3 linked regions of the Schizosaccharomyces pombe genome follow. The protein of the gene in region 3 purifies or fractionates together with the protein of the main gene of each other region. This does not show direct contact. Each region holds a gene or a part of one and is shown on either strand. Other genes may lie near its edges.

Evidence for each region.
Region 1: the proteins of ysh1 (region 3) and pfs2 purify together in Schizosaccharomyces pombe (affinity purification with mass spectrometry, with the first as the bait; one study listed by BioGRID). This does not show direct contact.
Region 2: the proteins of ysh1 (region 3) and iss1 purify together in Schizosaccharomyces pombe (affinity purification with mass spectrometry, with the first as the bait; one study listed by BioGRID). This does not show direct contact.

What each region holds. Positions count from the first base shown.
Region 1 is NC_003424.3:317,225-322,519, reverse strand, and holds pfs2 (mRNA cleavage and polyadenylation specificity factor complex, WD repeat protein Pfs2), read right to left. Parts: upstream 2,714-5,295; 5' UTR 2,547-2,713; coding exon 1,017-2,546; 3' UTR 695-1,016; downstream 1-694. Other genes in the region: TRAMP complex poly(A) polymerase subunit Cid14, read right to left, coding at 1-596; sif3 (Sad1-interacting factor 3), read left to right, coding at 3,579-4,299, 4,348-5,006, 5,051-5,089. UniProt on the Schizosaccharomyces pombe protein: Required for 3'-end cleavage and polyadenylation of pre-mRNAs. Also involved in chromosome segregation where it has a role in chromosome attachment to the mitotic spindle.
Region 2 is NC_003424.3:751,069-756,370, reverse strand, and holds iss1 (fip1-like pre-mRNA polyadenylation factor), read right to left. Parts: upstream 2,701-5,302; 5' UTR 2,668-2,700; coding exon 2,530-2,667; exon of another isoform or gene 2,485-2,529; coding exon 2,432-2,484; exon of another isoform or gene 2,385-2,431; coding exon 1,541-2,384; 3' UTR 1,292-1,540; coding exon of another isoform or gene 869-1,291; 3' UTR 695-868; downstream 1-694. Other genes in the region: protein cum1, read left to right, coding at 869-1,291; nucleoporin Nup45, read left to right, coding at 3,161-3,215, 3,292-3,898, 3,942-4,028, 4,075-4,183, 4,240-4,531, 4,571-4,698; serine/threonine protein kinase Ppk8, read right to left, coding at 4,783-5,302.
Region 3 is NC_003424.3:3,619,264-3,625,935, reverse strand, and holds ysh1 (cleavage and polyadenylation specificity factor complex endoribonuclease subunit Ysh1), read left to right. Parts: upstream 1-2,225; 5' UTR 2,226-2,291; coding exon 2,292-2,339; intron 2,340-2,393; coding exon 2,394-2,480; intron 2,481-2,526; exon of another isoform or gene 2,527-2,529; coding exon 2,530-2,627; exon of another isoform or gene 2,628-2,760; coding exon 2,761-2,889; exon of another isoform or gene 2,890-2,930; coding exon 2,931-3,831; exon of another isoform or gene 3,832-3,875; coding exon 3,876-4,422; exon of another isoform or gene 4,423-4,465; coding exon 4,466-4,929; 3' UTR 4,930-5,175; downstream 5,176-6,672. Other genes in the region: protein Rqc1, read right to left, coding at 1-362; pof8 (LARP7 family RNA-binding protein Pof8/Lar7), read right to left, coding at 859-2,067; sideroflexin Fsf1, read left to right, coding at 5,279-5,341, 5,382-5,407, 5,456-5,565, 5,679-5,752, 5,793-6,128, 6,233-6,592. UniProt on the Schizosaccharomyces pombe protein: Component of the cleavage factor I (CF I) involved in pre-mRNA 3'-end processing.

The DNA.
Region 1 (5,295 bases), 3.3 Mb from region 3:
AATCGGCCTCGTTGACGCATAAAGCCAGGGATCTCATTTTTAGAAGACTTTTTTAAGGACTCATTATTCTTGCTTTTATCATTACTAACACTATCCTCGTCTTCATCGCTGTTCCAATCGAACTTGATAAAATCAGAATTATTTTCGACAGCCTTGTCGTGTACAGGGTTAGTTTTTCTACCTTCTCTTTTTGGTATACCTAAAAGAATGGTAGGTTCACCACGTTTTATTGCTTCCTCTGGTAAATCAGGTTTTTCCAGCGGCTCTAATGGATCGGCTTTTCCAAATTGAATATATGGATCGTTTTTGTTTGAAATTTCTACTCCACCTTTATCACGTATTCCTTCTGAATCATTATCATTACGTGATTTTTTACTTCCAATTTCAACCATGGGTTCTTCTTGATCCAGAAGCGTAAAATTGTTATTCAGAAGCATTTCGTCATAAGCGTCTGAATTTTTATCCTTTTCCTTTCTTTTAGATTTAAATTTACTCGGTTTATCGTTTTTAAAAATCCTCCTTGGAAGTGGTTCAGTTCTCTCATTTTTACGCTTTTTATAATTATTGCGGTTAAATGACACGCTTTTTTTACCCATCTCTAAGACATGGATAGAATGGTTTTCTATACCTATCTTGTAGAATTCTTATAAAAATCAATATATGACTAATTGAACCACAATTATTAATCACATAAGATCTTTGAAAATTTGGTGGTGAACAACTTACTAAATGTAGCATACCTAACTATTAACGATTTATTTACGAAAATCGTTGACACTCGGTAATTCAATTTGGGGAACATCTTGTATGGAGAGCGAGATATAGAAGTGCTTGTCGAGTATGAATGGTATAATGTAAATTGTTGCTTAGTTATCATTAAAAAAAAAATTAGTGTAGGTTTTGCTTTGCCAAACCCAATTTTTAGTATGAATCCAGTGAGCTGCGGTGTGAATTTTTTTTTTTTTAAATCTAATTAATGCCAAGTAAATATGTTTTTCAAATAACAAAGAAATGTATTATCGATAGTTTTGAGGATACCCATCTTGTGACTTTGAGGTGAGACCTGGGATAAAAGAGTTTTGAGTTGACGGCTCAGCGTATGAATTGCTCAAAGATGCATGAAGCATACCGGGAATTTGAGGTTGTCCATGTTGATAAGGCGATGGAAAGGAGGGCATAGTCCCTAAACCCGGAAGATTAAGTACTCCAGAAAATTGGGGATTATGGGCATTTGCTAATGTTTCGGTGAGAGGGTTTTCGTCAGGTTCATAATTATCGTCTTCTTCGATCGCTGCTTTTCTCTGACTTAGCATGGCCTCAGACTGTTCTTCACCTAAATGATGGCGATCCATGGTGGATTCCTTGTCATCTGGGCGAGATCTTGACCAAAAACGTGTAGTTTTATCATTTGAACCTGTACATAAAAGATGTCCAAGAGGATGATATTGCATACTCCAAATACCCAAATCATGAGCAAATGGAATTTCAGCAGTAGGGTATAGTAAATAAGAAGACGCGGAAAGAGTAACATTTGGATGCTTTTCATGATACTTTTGCTGAGAAAGTAATGGAGGTTCATCAAGTGAATAATGATTGACACTTCCATCGGAGCCACCAGTAGTAAGCAAATTAGGATAAAGAGGATGCCATGTTACGCAGTTTACGTCCTTTTCATGACCACGTAAAACTCGAACGTCCTTCATGGCACGTAAGTCAAATACTCGACAAGTGCTATCCCTAGAGACTGTAGCCAAATAATTTGATCCAAAATTTTTCTGAAAAGATGCTTGCATTATTGTGTTTTTATGACCATGCAAAGTCGCAATACATGTACCGGTTCTTGGATCCCAAAATTTCACTAAATTGTCTTTAGAACCAGAAGCCAAGAGACCTTTTGAAGGATGCCAATCGACGGTTTTTACATCCCATCCATGACCAGTTAGTTTCAGCTCTTCAGTACTCATATGGAAATTCCATACTTTTAATGAACCATCATCACTCGCTGTGACAAATTTGCTATCATTGGGTGAAAAGGCAACATCTCTAACTTCCATTTCATGAGCTTGAACAATTTTGACATTGTTTAAATTCGGTTCAAAATACTTTACCATGCCTCCTCCATCGCCGGAAATAAGCCAGCGCCCATCTGTACTCCATTCAGCACAACGAACGGCATAATCATGACTCTGATTAATTAACTCAAAATTAAATGTGAGACCATTCCACAGAGTAAATTCACCAGTTGAAGAACCTGTCAACAGTCTTCGACCATCTGGAGTCCAGCGCACAACGTTAATAACATGTCTAGCTTTATTTGCAGACGTATGAATATATTTGGTGCACAAGGAAGATGTGTTATTATACTTGTATTCATAAGGGGGATACAAGTTAATTATTTGATTCGGATTTGGTCTCGGTACATGTATGTGATAGCGATTGCTACGCAAATGTCGATTGACAATATACTTTGATAGCCCTGATCCATAGTCCACAGTCCTACGAGTCATAGGCTTTTGAATAATTCTAGCATTTTCAGCTCTTTCCATGATGAATTAACCAATTCCCCAAAGATGTGAAATTCCTTATTTAGCAGCAATAAAATCAATCTTTAATTTAAATAAAACCAACTTAAAGTTCCTTCTAATGTAGTATAAACTTTACCGTTTTTCGTATGGTATTCTAATATATAGATATTTGGCGCGTTTTACGTGCTGGGAAAATGAGCTAGTATGACTTTGGCCAAAGGTATGGATACGCAATCGTATCTTTTGACATGATATTTGGAACGATTGTGCTTGTAAAATACATTGAAAAAAATTTTATTAATTTAGTTCAAAGACTTCTTTTATTTAGTATAAGTAAATCGGTGGGATGTTGAAGATGATATTAATTTCGTTCCAAATTAGGCACGCCAAATAAATTAATCCACCTAGATCAAGTGTTCATAGTAAACATACAGTAATGATATCTTTGATCATCTATCCATGCTTGATTAGACAGTTAAAGAATAGTACGTTTAATTTATACAATGTAATAACATTAAATGAAACTAATGTCTAAATAATATCCATTTGTTGTTTTTAGATGAATTTTGCTTATTTAACATTTGATTAACGTTCCACATAAGGTTTCTCAAATTGCTTAATATTTTATTTGTAGTCGTACTTTAATGGCAGTATCCAACCTACATGTGCTCGTTTTATTCATTTGAAATTTATTTTTTAACAAAAACTGAGTAAAAATTCAGGAAATTGAACTGCTTAGTCGTATTATTGACACTGCATATTTTACATAGAAATCTTTATTGTCTAAAGACACCAATTTGTGTCTCTCTTTTAATATTGGTTAGTAATTAATACCCTACTTTATTCACTTGCTCTCTGATAATTTGAAATAAGCTCCATAGTTAATCAAGTTTACTTTCCTCATACACTACTAAGCACAACCATTTTATCTTTCAAAATAATTGTAATTTTACTTAGTTGCATATAATACTTGATTAAAGTATTATACTGCGTATCAGAGACATAGACTTATATTGGCATGACCAGTAAACCAACGCTCGAAGTACACATTCGATGTCTACTAAGGATAAACTAAATTTACCCCCTAAACGGACAATTAATACTCGATTATCAACTCCTGTGCATATTCCTCCCCCAATAAATTCAGAAAGTACACGAATAACGCCTCAGCATGGTAGCCCACCACGTTTTGGAGATCATCGAATATCTGCAGCTCAAGGCCTTTTTCAAAGACGGCGGAATGCTAGGAAAATCGATCATCCATTAGGATGGTTCTTAAAAAACCGACATGCTGCTGCTCATATTCCTCAAAGAACTACTAAAACATCTCAGAAACTTGTACTACTACCCGAGAACCATGCTGTCAATTCATTTAACGAAGAAGAAAGCAACTATGAGGACTTGCTTACTCCTAGCGATGCCTATAATTTAATCAAATTAGAAAACTTACCTCGTGACAAACGTGAAGAGTTAGGATTTCCTCGTGCTACAGCATATTGTGTCTGTGAAGCTTTCCAGTTGCCTAAGGTTAAACATTTTTTAAAACATTATCACAAAGTCCGCGCAAAGAAATATGATGAGGTTCTATACGCTGTATATCATTTACCTTTAGTGTATGGCAGGTCTGAATCTTGCCGAGTTTCTAGTGGCCCAGCACCGGACGATATGCCCTCTAGTGCGTCTAATCACAATCAAAAGCATTTGGACTCTGACAAACCGGATAACGAAAATTTTGATTCTCATATAATATCTCAATTGTATCGAATATCTGAAAGTAAGTTAATCCTAACTGTTTAGCTAATTTCCTATTAACGCCATTTAGTTTTCGTCTTCTCTTATGGTGTCGTGGTTTTTTGGAATTTTTCTTTGAGTCAAGAAAAGGATATTCTTGCCGATTTAACTTTTGGTGGTGATAATTCTTTAATGGTTAAGCCTTTAGCAGAAGAGGAATGTGAAATTGAAGATTTACATTTTCATTACGCGCCGAATACAAAAAGGCCGAGGATATATAATGATATGATTCATATCCCGTCAGCGGACAACAAAATGAAGCTGGCAATGTCTCATGCTTTGGCTCAATCCGTCAAACTTTCTAGGTTTGAGTTACGAACAGACGTCACAATGAACTCTGCATTATTCTATCCAAAAAAGCTTGCTTTATACGGTCATTTAGGTCTTTCAAGGGTAGAGGTTGTTCGCATGAGCGGTCATTTGTTTCAGTTACGAGTGGATGTCAACCTTATTAGTAACATATTAGACACTCCAGACTTTTTATGGGACTCTGAACCCTTACTTCTACCTTTATATACTGCATTTCGCGAATACTTGGAAATTGGACCCCGTACAAATGTTCTCAATAGACGCTGTAAAGTCATTTTTGATATGCTTGATATATTTGGTAAATCCAGCGCGGATAGGAAGATGAACTCTATTACCTGGATAATAATTATCTTGATATCTTTGTTTGTAATCATATTTACTGTAAGTTTTAATTGGTCGTTTTATTCATTGACTAACATAAGCAGCTTGAAGTCATATTGCGACTCAGATGGGCTCATAGGTAATTGTGTGTTGTTGGTTTATGTTGATGGACTATGGTCTGTAAAAACCAATGGTTTTCGACAATTATCATTATTTATTCTTTCTTTTTCGCCTCAAAATATTTCCCCTTTTATCAATTTATAATTTCGTTGCTGTTAAGAAAGTGTCAGGTTGGTATGTTTCTGTACATTGGTGTTATATAATCATTTGGTTAATGCCGCTTCGCTTC
Region 2 (5,302 bases), 2.9 Mb from region 3:
GTATAATTGATGAACTTATATTTCTGTCTTTTTGAAATCTACAGATACTTAAAATAGTAATTTCATATATAACTGTAAACTGCTAAACTAGTTTTCTTCTCGCCGATTAAATGTGTCGAGGCTGCTTATTCCATCTAATTAACATCTTACCATACACTCGATTTGAAAGGGTTCCTTTTATTATTGTTTATTCAGATGAAAATGGTTCATTCAGTTGATTATTTTATTGCTTTTGCTTCATTGCAACCACTTATAGCGGATTGCTTCGCATATCTATACCGCTCCTTACATGTGTTGTGATAGAGAGGTAAAGAATTTCAGACATCAATTGAAGCAACAAATTCCAATTTTAATACTTACATGATTTTGGCTTCAACTAGCTCGGGATGATATCCCATATTTTATGCCCGACACCGTTTGTCATCCGCTTAGTCGTGATACCCGTCTGCCACATAGCGAATGTCAAAGGATTATGCTACTTTACGTGAGAATGAAATATAGACTTTACACATCGCCACATGATGGCATCGATAGAGCTGCTAGTTTCAATTACTTTCAATTAACGAGTGAAAAGCGGATGTACCGCATCATCTGTTGAGCGAAATAGTCTACGTAAAATCAAATGGGCTAATTTGTCGCTGAATTAACCCAAAAGCAAAAATACGATTGCAATTCTCATTACGAAATGCTGAATGGGATGGAAAATAAATTGATGTCACAATTTCCGAGGACTCTTACAAATATTATATATAGAGCACGGGGTACATCACTATCGATTCGAATTTTCAAGAAGTAATATTTCGCACCGTAGTACTTTTTGTAAGCCGTTTTATTAAATCAGAAAGAACTCCAATTTTATTTATAAACAATGCCTGATCCTAATCGTGTTCTCGCTGGCAAGAAAGCCACCCTACACAATCCCAATGTATCACAACAAGCCAAAGAAAGAGCCGAAGACTATATAGAAAGTCATTCTTCCGGCCAAGAGACTGGTGATTATTCCGCTCAAGCTGGAGGCCGTGATCTTGATTATGAGGATCTCGGTGATTATGATGAGGATGCAGACTTTGACAACGAGGAGGGTCTAAATGTGTTGGGAGATGAGTCGGGTTTTGTTGATGATCCTATGAAAACAGGTGATTTGGTCGAAGAAGATCAACTTGAGGGCAAGAACATTGAAAATGTCCGAGGAGGTTATAAAGCTACTATGCATAATCCTAATGTATCCAAGCAAGCCAAAACCCGCGCCCAAAGAGCCCTTGAAGAAATTGATGATGAAACCCAAGCTTAATTGCTGCCCAGTTGATTACCCGTCATTGCTTTGATGTGTCTGAAGTATCTTCAGTTTTGATTTTATGTTGTTAATACAGAATTCCATAGTAATGATGAGTATACATGTTTATGATCTTATGAATATTATTTCATTCACCAGCTTTTAACTTTTGAAACCGTTGTCCTTGTAGAAGTAGTCGACACCCCATAGCATACAATTAAAACGATTCTCCTAAGATTTGCATACACAAACGTTATTGTATTTATCTTAATATCTGTTGCGTCGATATCGGCCGCCAGAACCTCTAGAGGAGTAGTTGGAGTATCTGTCCGGAGATGGTTTTCGCCTTGATGAGGAAGGATAGTTGCTACTGTGAGGATGGTTACTAGGAGGTCTTGAGGCATTATAGTTCGTAGAGGCTCCATTCCCATAACTCGATGTAGGATTATGAGTAGGTTGTGCATGCGTCATACCAGCACTCGATGTAATATTAGGGGAATTCGCTGGACTTTCACTTTCACGTCTAGAAGATGAAGGATTGTTATTTACATACGCATTAGGTGTAGCTGCACCTGAATGAACACCACCACCAGATGTATGTGTAGTATTATAGTTTGAAGATGCATGGACTGGAAAATTGCGCGAGTACCCCATATCCTCTTGTGGGCCTCCAATAGGCGGAGGAATAGGCATAAATGGAGGAAATCCAGAAGCCATCATAGCTTGAAACTCGGCAGGTGATGGTACGTTGCCAGAAGGTAAAGGACCCGGGATCTGAGCAAGACTTGCCATAAATTTTTGGGGGCTAAAGTCGTCACGCAAAGTCGTTTGTTTGGCACAGTAAGCAGCCCATGTAAATTCATCAAATCCATAGTTAAAATAATCTGAGATATCTGCACCAGGCTTGCGCCATGGTTTATCATCAAAAGACTCCAAATCAATCTCAAAAATGTTTTTACCATCAATTGTAGGAACAGCGTCAATGTCAACTTTAGGTGCAGTTTCTGCTGTCGATAAATCTTGGGGTTCTGTAGTTTTTACTTCGACAGCAGTTTTCTCTACTTGAGGTTTAGCAGAAGGTCGGGTTGAACCTAATGTTGCAATCGATCCACTAACATTATTAGTATAATCTGAAATCAATTATTTTGGTTTACATACCCTAATGGTTCTGCTCTTTCACCTGGCTTTGTTTCAATGATAAATTCAATATCCTACAAAATTAGCAGTTAGCAGTATCATTTTAATTGAAATCTTACTGAATCATCGCTTTCTTCACTTGCTTGCTCTGGTGACTTGGCATTTGACACTGTAACTCCATCATTCCGTTCCTCTATGGTTTCTCCATATAAATATTCATCCTCATCAACATCCATGTGCTGATCAGCATTTGACATAGTAAAAACCCACTTCTAAAATGTATATGGGGCAAGTCCATTCATTGACTGAGTCTCGCACCTGAAATTATGGATTCCTTCTTCTTTACCACTTAGGGCCATTAGTCCACTAAACATTGTACCGAGTTGTACGGTATATACTAGTGGACTTCATAGCGTACTTCATTTACCTGGGTAAAAATATTTTGCGCTAAAACGGGTTGAAACAGACCAACACTCGTGAAAGCCAACTTAGTGAGCCACATTGTAGTTAACACTAACAATTGAATTTGCTCTGCGAACACAGCAGTATTTGACTATACGATACCCTGAAAGCTAGTTCAATTTGAAACTTTAGATAACTAATCTTTTCCATCTTTGCTTAATTATAATATTAATCATTGATTGTGATTCTACAATTACCCTTTTTAGAAAAGATAACCTGAGTGGTTTTTCATGATAATCTTTGCATGGTATTTACACTAGGGACATTCGTGTATTAATACTTTAAGCAATGTTCGGGTTAAATAAAACACCCTCATTTGGGTCCACAGGAACCCAAAACCAAAGTATGTTTCTTTAGGTGAACAAGTCTTCAAGTTTACTTTTCGAATTTTGTGCTTATTCATATATTAACCTTTTCAGATACTGGTACTTCTGCAGGCACAGGACTTTTTTCTTCTAATACTTTTGGTAACAATACGCAGGCCAATACGCCCGCTTCGACTGGGTTTGGAGGCGTAACAGGAGGAGCTTTTGGTCAAACAAAACCTCAAACTGGTGGAAGCTTGTTTGGAAATAAGCCAAACGCTACATCTACTACCCCCGGCCTAAATTTGTTTGGACAAAACCCTCAAGCGGCACCTGGTGGCAGCCTGTTTGGAGCTTCCACTACTAAACCTCAAGCACCTGGTGGTTTGTTCAATCAGAATCAAACACAAGCACAACCTGCTCAAGCAGCCCCTACTGGAGGATTATTTGGATTATCTGGTCAAAATCAAACACAATCGCAAACACAGCCTGCTCAAGCAAATACTTCTCTTTTCGGACAGTCTAACATCGGAACTACAGGAGGTCTATTTGATCAAAACCGCCCTAATACTTCGACTTTTGGTCAATTTTCTACACAACCAGCTTCCGCTGGCCTTTTTGGTCAATCCACACAACCGTCTGGTTCAACTGGTTTTGGTTTAAGCAATAATACTCAAACTACTCCATTCTTTTCTGCAGCTCAGCAGCAACCGTCAACAACGTAAGTTAATTATTAAATTTTTTTTTCATTAACAAAAAAACAGGCAACTCCCTTCTAATCCAGCTATTAATGCAACGACGAGATACTCGAGCTTAAACGCTAATACTCAAAAATTTTTAGATGACTTAGAGTATGTGTTACCTTATGTACAAAATTTGTTCTAATCATGTCCGTAGCAAAGAAATTTTTAGCCAAATCCAACTTGCAGAGGAACTACAAACTAAGTTGGGGACTGTTTCCGAATTGGTTGAATCCGTCCCTAATGATGTCGCTGAAGTACAGAGAGTGAGTTATTTCCTTCTATTATCTCCAAGTTTTATTTGTTTCTAACTAAAATAAAGCGTTTATCTTCTGTCTCGACTGCACTTTTAATTGATTCCGACGAAATTGAAACTACGAAGCGTGTAGTTGACGAAGATACTTCGAATGCTCGCATTAGTTCACGTATTTTGGACGTTTTTAAAACACCTGGCGCAACCTATCCCTTCGCGTCAAACGATCCCCTAATGAACTACTTTGAGCAATTTACAGAAAACGCTAAGAAACGTACAGATCTGTATGCTGCCACTATTGGTGAACTTGAACAACATTTGGAGCAAGTTGAGACTACGCCACAGAATAATAGTCCCGAGGGTATGCCTTTAATTTGTAAAACTTGTATTAACTATCTAGCATTACTGAAAACTATCAAAGAGGAGCACAAATTATTCATGGCTCTTAGTAATAGATTTGCTCAAGTTCACGATGAAGTAAAGCGTCTACAAGTGAACACTTCAACGTCCTTGCCCTTTATAAGTTAATAGCGATCATTAAAGGGACTTCATAATCCTTAACATCATAAAAAAAATAAATAGATAAAAATCTCTAAAGTAGACAAATTCTCCTTAGATTAGAGTTTTCCGAACTTGTTGCATCCATGTAGTGCTTCGTGCTCCCGAAATGCTACATCTTGTATTAAAATCAATGTCCAGCATATGATAAATCGTATCTCTTGAGTTCATCGGTAAAGATTCTATCAATTGGCTTTTCGTGTTAGGGTCATTTCGTTGAGTAACGTATAAATTAAAACGTTTATCCGATGTATGCGGCACTTTCCATGGAAATCTCTTTAAAGCAATACAACAGTAAACAATTGCACAAGACCAAACATCTACAGCGCTCGGATCATATGGTTTCTGAGTAAGAACTTCGGGAGCAACATATGGTTTTGAACCGACTACACCATCAGACATCAGAGTGGTTGATTCAAATGGATAATGAAAAACAAAAGCAGTACCAAAATCAATAATCTTAACATTTAAATTTTCATCGAGCATAATATTATCTAATTTTATATCACGATGAGCAATGCCAAGGGAATGCATATAAGCCACGCCATCTAACAATTGAAAAAACATTTGATCA
Region 3 (6,672 bases):
GATTCAAGTCCCTCCAATTTCTCATTATCAGAAGATTGATTATCTAAATCACGCTTTCCAGTGACTTTCTTCTTCTTCTGCTGCTTTTTCTTTTTCTTTTTATTTTTTGCTTTCTTATTTGTAGAGACAATTGGAGACTCGCCTTCTACTAATGGTTCATCCTGCTCTTCCTCAGAAACACTTTTTTCTGCCTCTGAGTTAATAGCATTATTTTCTTTTTCGAGAATTTCGAACACGTTTACTACTTTTTTCCCGGAAGTTGAAGAAAACTCGTCATCCTCATCAGATTCACTGTCTAAAGCTTCTTCCAATAGCTCGGTTTGTCTTTGACGCTGAAGTTTCCGTAAAGCTCGTGAAGACATGAGAATGGTTTGTGGTAGACTAGAATGGCAGATGTAAGAATTTAACTCAGACCTATGAAAACACACCTCAATTTCAAGAACTTTTCGGTATGCTAAATTAATATATAACATACAGAAAATATTTCATTTTAAGACTGTTAGCAGTGAAGAATATTACGTTTCGTAGTTAAAAGGCGTTAAGGAAAATACAAGCCGGGAGCAACAATGATGTACAGAATATGTAATTAAAATCTAAGTAATAGAATTTTGCAATTGTGGGGTGGTAAACCGTTTTTACATATTTGTGGTTCATGGTTTATTGGAATTTTTGCTGATCGCAATAGGTTATCAGCCAAATGAAAATTAGAGGGGTTATTAATACAAAAAACTGTTAATGCAAATTTAGTATTAAAGTGAGAATAACGACCGTGTTACCTTTTTGTATGCCTATATTACCAGAATATATTATAAAGTAGTAAATAAATCAAATTAGTATTACCAGAGAAAGGAAAACATATTACTTTTTTAACATACGCCAATAATTCTTTTCTTCTTCTCCGGTAATTAGCTCAGCAATCAGGAATGGACGGCTAGATCCCTTTTTCCTATGTGCCCGAATATCATCATGACTGTTTTGTTTCCTTTCTTGTGTACGAAACGCGTTGATACACGTCTCAGCATGAAGCGGTGTTTTCCAACGTATTATCGCCTCTGTTTCGTCCTTCCTATAGTCTATATACATGGGCTCACATGCAATATTCTGAGTTTGCCGCGAAAAAACATAACTCAAGAGGCTGTGAATAGTAGATTTATTAGTTAAAGGATGGAGGTTCTTGATACGGGTCAAAAGATTCTTGGTAAAATCCAAATTATCTTCATCTTTATCAGTTTGTGAGGTTTTGGATACAGACTTGGTCATTTGTTTTTCTACTTTAGTAAGTTTGGGATAACGATTTTCAGGAAAGGAATTGGATGAATTTGAAACGTCTGAAGATGACGCTTTTACTAAATGGAGTTGATTTTCAAAATATTTTTCTTCACGATTTGTCCATTCTTTACGAGTCAACAGTACCCATCCAGGAGGGACAGGCAACTTGCTAAGTGCTGATTGATCAACCTTTTTGTACAAAATTACAAAAGCATAACCTTCAGGAGTACCGATAGCATCAACATAGGGAAGGAACTCTTTGAGGTATTTGCGAAGTTTCCCAGCCAAAAGTAAACTTTTATTAGACAGAGTAGCCGGAACTGGTTCAACGTAAATAATTCTATCATACAGTGGTATGTCAAGAGGAAGAACAATATTCTCATTTCTAATAACCATGTGTGAGGAATTATCGAAATGAAACAGCGCATTAGTAACATAAGATAAAGCATACTTCAAGTTATTTTGCGTTGGATTCGGGCGGATTCCTTTCCAGAAATCATCTTGCTGGATTAAAAAGGCCAAGTGCACTTTTTCTTTTTGCCTTTCTCGGTGAAAATAAATTTCTAATATAGAATCAACGGCTGATAAAAAGTCAGGATTTAACGGTTCAATAAGCTGTCTATCTTGTTGATTTAACATGAGTCCTCCGCTTATGGAATGACTTGGTTCTTTGCTGGCTTCATTATGTTTGTAATGCTCATCTTTCAATTTGTTGTTATTTCCATCTGCAATAGAATTATTTTCCTTCCCTGTAAATGCTTTAATTTTGCGAACATTCAGTTGCCTTGGCACAAACATTTTACTTCGCTCCTTAAAGTACGGTTTTCTAGTATCAATTAAAGTGAAGTCATTAATAATAAATAGAATTAGGTGCTCTTAATTAAAAAAAAAAGGGTTGTAAATTTTTGTTCTGCTTTCTCCCAATTTATGTTGAATGCGTAGGTGAAGAATAACTCGCGCTTGCCCAGCACCCACGACCTTGTCTTTCCAATTGTGGTTTTTAGACAAAAGCCCTTGGAAAGATGTCCAAAAGAAAGGAATTTGATGAAGATGCACCTGTAGACCCATCCGTAAGCCTTGAATTTACGATTTTTTATAAGGGCCTACTTTCTAACCAATGTCAGGATTTACTGGAGTTTATTAACTTGGGAGCCGGAAATGAAGTTGGTCGCAGTTGCCATGTTATTCAATACAAAGGGAAAACAGTAATGGTATTTTAATTTTTATTTTGTTATGATTGTGAATGCTAATTTTTGCTAGCTCGATGCCGGTGTTCACCCTGCGTATACTGGGCTTTCAGCTCTTCCTTTTTTTGATGAGTTTGATTTGAGCACTGTAGATGTACTTTTAATTAGCCAGTAAGTCCCTTTTGTACCACTACTTGAGACGACCATAGGTTATTAGATTAGAGTACTTCTTGTACCAATTACTATTATGGTCCCTTAGGCATTGATTCATTTTTTTTTGAAAAGTATTTCTAACTTAAGCAAGCTTCCATTTGGATCATGTAGCCTCGCTTCCCTATGTTATGCAAAAGACGAACTTTAGAGGTCGTGTCTTCATGACTCATCCTACAAAGGCAGTTTGCAAGTGGCTTTTATCTGACTACGTGAAAGTGAGGTATGTATTCTTAGCTCTGAGTATTCATTAACAACTCGCAGTAATGTAGGCATGGAAGATCAGCTTTACGATGAGAAAGATTTGTTAGCCGCTTTTGATAGAATCGAGGCTGTTGACTACCATTCAACTATAGAAGTTGAGGGTATAAAGTTTACACCCTATCATGCGGGCCATGTTTTGGGTGCCTGTATGTATTTTGTGGAAATGGCTGGAGTCAATATTTTATTTACAGGCGACTACTCACGAGAAGAAGATCGCCATTTGCATGTCGCTGAGGTTCCTCCTAAAAGACCAGATGTGCTGATCACAGAATCCACGTATGGTACAGCATCTCACCAACCAAGACTGGAGAAGGAGGCTAGACTGTTAAATATTATTCATTCCACTATTCGCAATGGAGGGAGAGTTTTGATGCCTGTCTTTGCTCTTGGAAGAGCTCAGGAGTTATTACTCATTCTCGATGAATATTGGAATAATCATCTCGATCTTCGCTCAGTCCCTATCTATTATGCATCATCGCTAGCGAGAAAGTGTATGGCCATTTTTCAAACTTATGTTAACATGATGAATGATAATATTCGAAAAATTTTTGCCGAACGAAATCCGTTCATCTTTCGTTTTGTCAAAAGTCTAAGAAATTTAGAAAAATTCGATGATATTGGCCCTTCTGTAATATTGGCAAGTCCTGGTATGCTACAAAATGGTGTTTCAAGAACCCTCTTAGAAAGATGGGCTCCTGACCCTCGAAATACGTTACTTCTTACTGGTTATTCTGTTGAAGGGACAATGGCAAAGCAAATTACAAATGAGCCTATTGAAATTGTGTCACTTTCAGGCCAAAAGATTCCTAGAAGAATGGCAGTGGAGGAACTTTCTTTTGCGGCTCATGTTGATTATCTTCAAAACAGTGAATTCATTGACCTGGTAAATGCCGATCACATTGTATGTTTAGTTACTAATGTAACGTTAAAATTAACTAATTATAGATTTTGGTGCATGGTGAGCAAACAAATATGGGTCGATTAAAAAGTGCTCTAGCCAGCAAATTTCACAATAGAAAAGTCGATGTCAAAGTATATACCCCTCGAAATTGCGTACCGTTATATCTTCCTTTCAAAGGGGAACGGTTAGTGAGAGCTTTGGGAAAGGTCGCTGTTCATAAACCAAAAGAAGGCGACATTATGAGTGGAATTTTAATTCAAAAGGATGCCAATTATAAATTGATGTCAGCTGAAGATCTTCGAGATTTCAGTGACCTTACTACCACCGTTTTAACCCAAAAACAAGTCATTCCATTTTTTTCGAGTATGGAGCTTGCAAATTTCCATTTAAAACAAATGTTTGGATATGTCAAACAGTCAAAAACAAAGGCAGGACAACCTCAATATACAGTAATGGACGCCATTACTTTGACTTTAATCCAAGAACATAAGCTTGCTCTTGAATGGGTTGGCAACATTATGAATGATACAATAGCTGATTCAGTAATTACTATTCTACTAGGCATTGAAAGCAGTCCTGCTTCTGTCAAGTGTAAGTCTGCGTTTAATGTGGAACAATTTCTAACCATTAATAGTGACGAGCCATAAATGTAACCATTTGCATTCGCATTTAGATAAGCCTCCAAAAGTATCAAAGGAGGAAGATCGTATTAAAAAGCTGATGATGTTTTTGGACAACCAATTTGGCGAAAGTATGACTAAAACGGAAAAGGGGGTTGAAATCAAATTTGAAAAATATGAAGCGTCTATTGATTTTTCGACTATGAAAGTTGAATGTTCAAATGAAGCGTTACGATCTAGAGTCGTACATGTTTTATCCCGTGCGATCAATACTATCCTTCCATTTTCTGAAGCTTCACAAAACGACGTCTCCGAAGATGATTTTGAAAATGAAGAATCTGACGATGATAAAATCTTTGAGCAGCAAACGAAAATAGAAGATGATGTTAAAAATGAAAATAAGACAGAACCAGTTGAAGAACAGAAAAGCGAAGAAAAGAATGAACAGCCCAACCTTAAGAAAGAAGAACTTTCTTGAAAATTATTTACGAACGAATCTTTGCCTTTCATAGCCATGACACTTTTATGGCTACCTTCATTTTTTGCTATTTAAGTCTCAGTAGTTATCATGCACTCTGGTATTTCTGTTAAAAAATGCTGTTTCTTAGTCATGCGTGATCGAATCTTTAATTTATTCTTGCCATTTACGTCAAAGACAAACAATTTAATAGCCATTCCAAAAAAATTGACTAGTACTTAAAAAAATGCTATAACTATTTAGATTTTTGTAAGGAAAACTTTTTTTGTAGCTATTATGAACTCCAAAGACACTACCAATCGGGTTAATTAAGCAAATTTTTGTACCGACTACCAACACCAACACCACAATGTCCAGCAATAAGCTGCCCACCTCTAAGTATGACTTGTCCACCTATTGGGGACGTGTTCGTGTATGTTATATTACTCTTTGTATTTATGCTAATGCGGCAGCACGCTATGGATATTACTGATCCAAGGTAATTATAATTTAACTACATGATCGTTTGAGCACCTAACATCTGTAGGACACTTCTCTCTACATCTCAAGATTTAAATAGCGCCGTCAAAACTCTGGAAGACTATGGAGCGGGTAAAATTGCACAATTAGATGAAACGGTTTGGCATGCAAAGAAAAGTATGTAGTTATACGATACAAATCCGATCAAATGTTATATTATTTGATTAGTTATTTTTTTTGTTATTAAATATATTTTCAAATTAAAAAAAAAAACATATTAACGATTTTAGTTGTTGATTCAACTTTGCATCCCGATACTAAGGAACCTGTTTTCTTACCATTCCGAATGTCATGCTTTGTCTTGGTAAGATAATACTATTTAGTGACTAAATGCTAATCATTAGACTAATTTGGTCGTCACAGCAGGTATGCTGCAACCAAACCTTGGTACCGCTGGAACCGTTTTTTGGCAGTGGATGAATCAATCTGTAAATGTAGCTTTTAATTCTGCAAATGCAAATAAATCTACGCAATTGACTCTTCCGCAGATGACTAAATCCTATATTTATGCTGTTAGTGCAAGTTGTGGTGTTGCTATTGGTCTCAACAAAATTGTGCCTCGTATGAACTTTCTTTCTTCTTCGTCCAAAGCGGTACTCGGAAGATTGACCCCTTTTGCTGCTGTTGCTTCAGCTGGTGTTTTAAATGTCTTTTTGATGCGCGGCGAAGAACTTCGTCAGGTATGAGTTTTAGCCTAAGTTTATTTATTCTGGGTACAAACCTATGTATTGAAGTTTCATACATTGGTTTTGTGTTTTTTCATTCTTTACTAATGTTTGTATAGGGTATCGACGTTTTCGATAAAGAGGGAGAATCTTTAGGAAAAAGCAAAAAGGCGGCGTTTTATGCTGTTGGAGAGACTGCTCTTTCCCGTGTAATCAACGCTTCACCAATTATGGTTATCCCTCCTTTAGTCTTAATGAGACTACAAAAGCAGAACTGGCTTCGTACTCGCCCTAAGTTGACCATCCCTGTCAATCTCGGACTTATCACTCTGACTTCCTTAATAGCCCTTCCTTTGGCAATTGGCGTCTTCCCTGCAAGAGAAAAAATTTCCCCGTTTAAGCTAGAGCCCCAATTTCACCATTTGAAGGATAAGTCTGACCAGCCCATCGTGGAGGTTGAATTCAACCGTGGATTGTAGGAATTTTTTGTAATAGTTATTCGTTTGTTTATATCCATCCCTGTCTTTGAAAATAGACACTCTCCCTTTAGAAATTTATT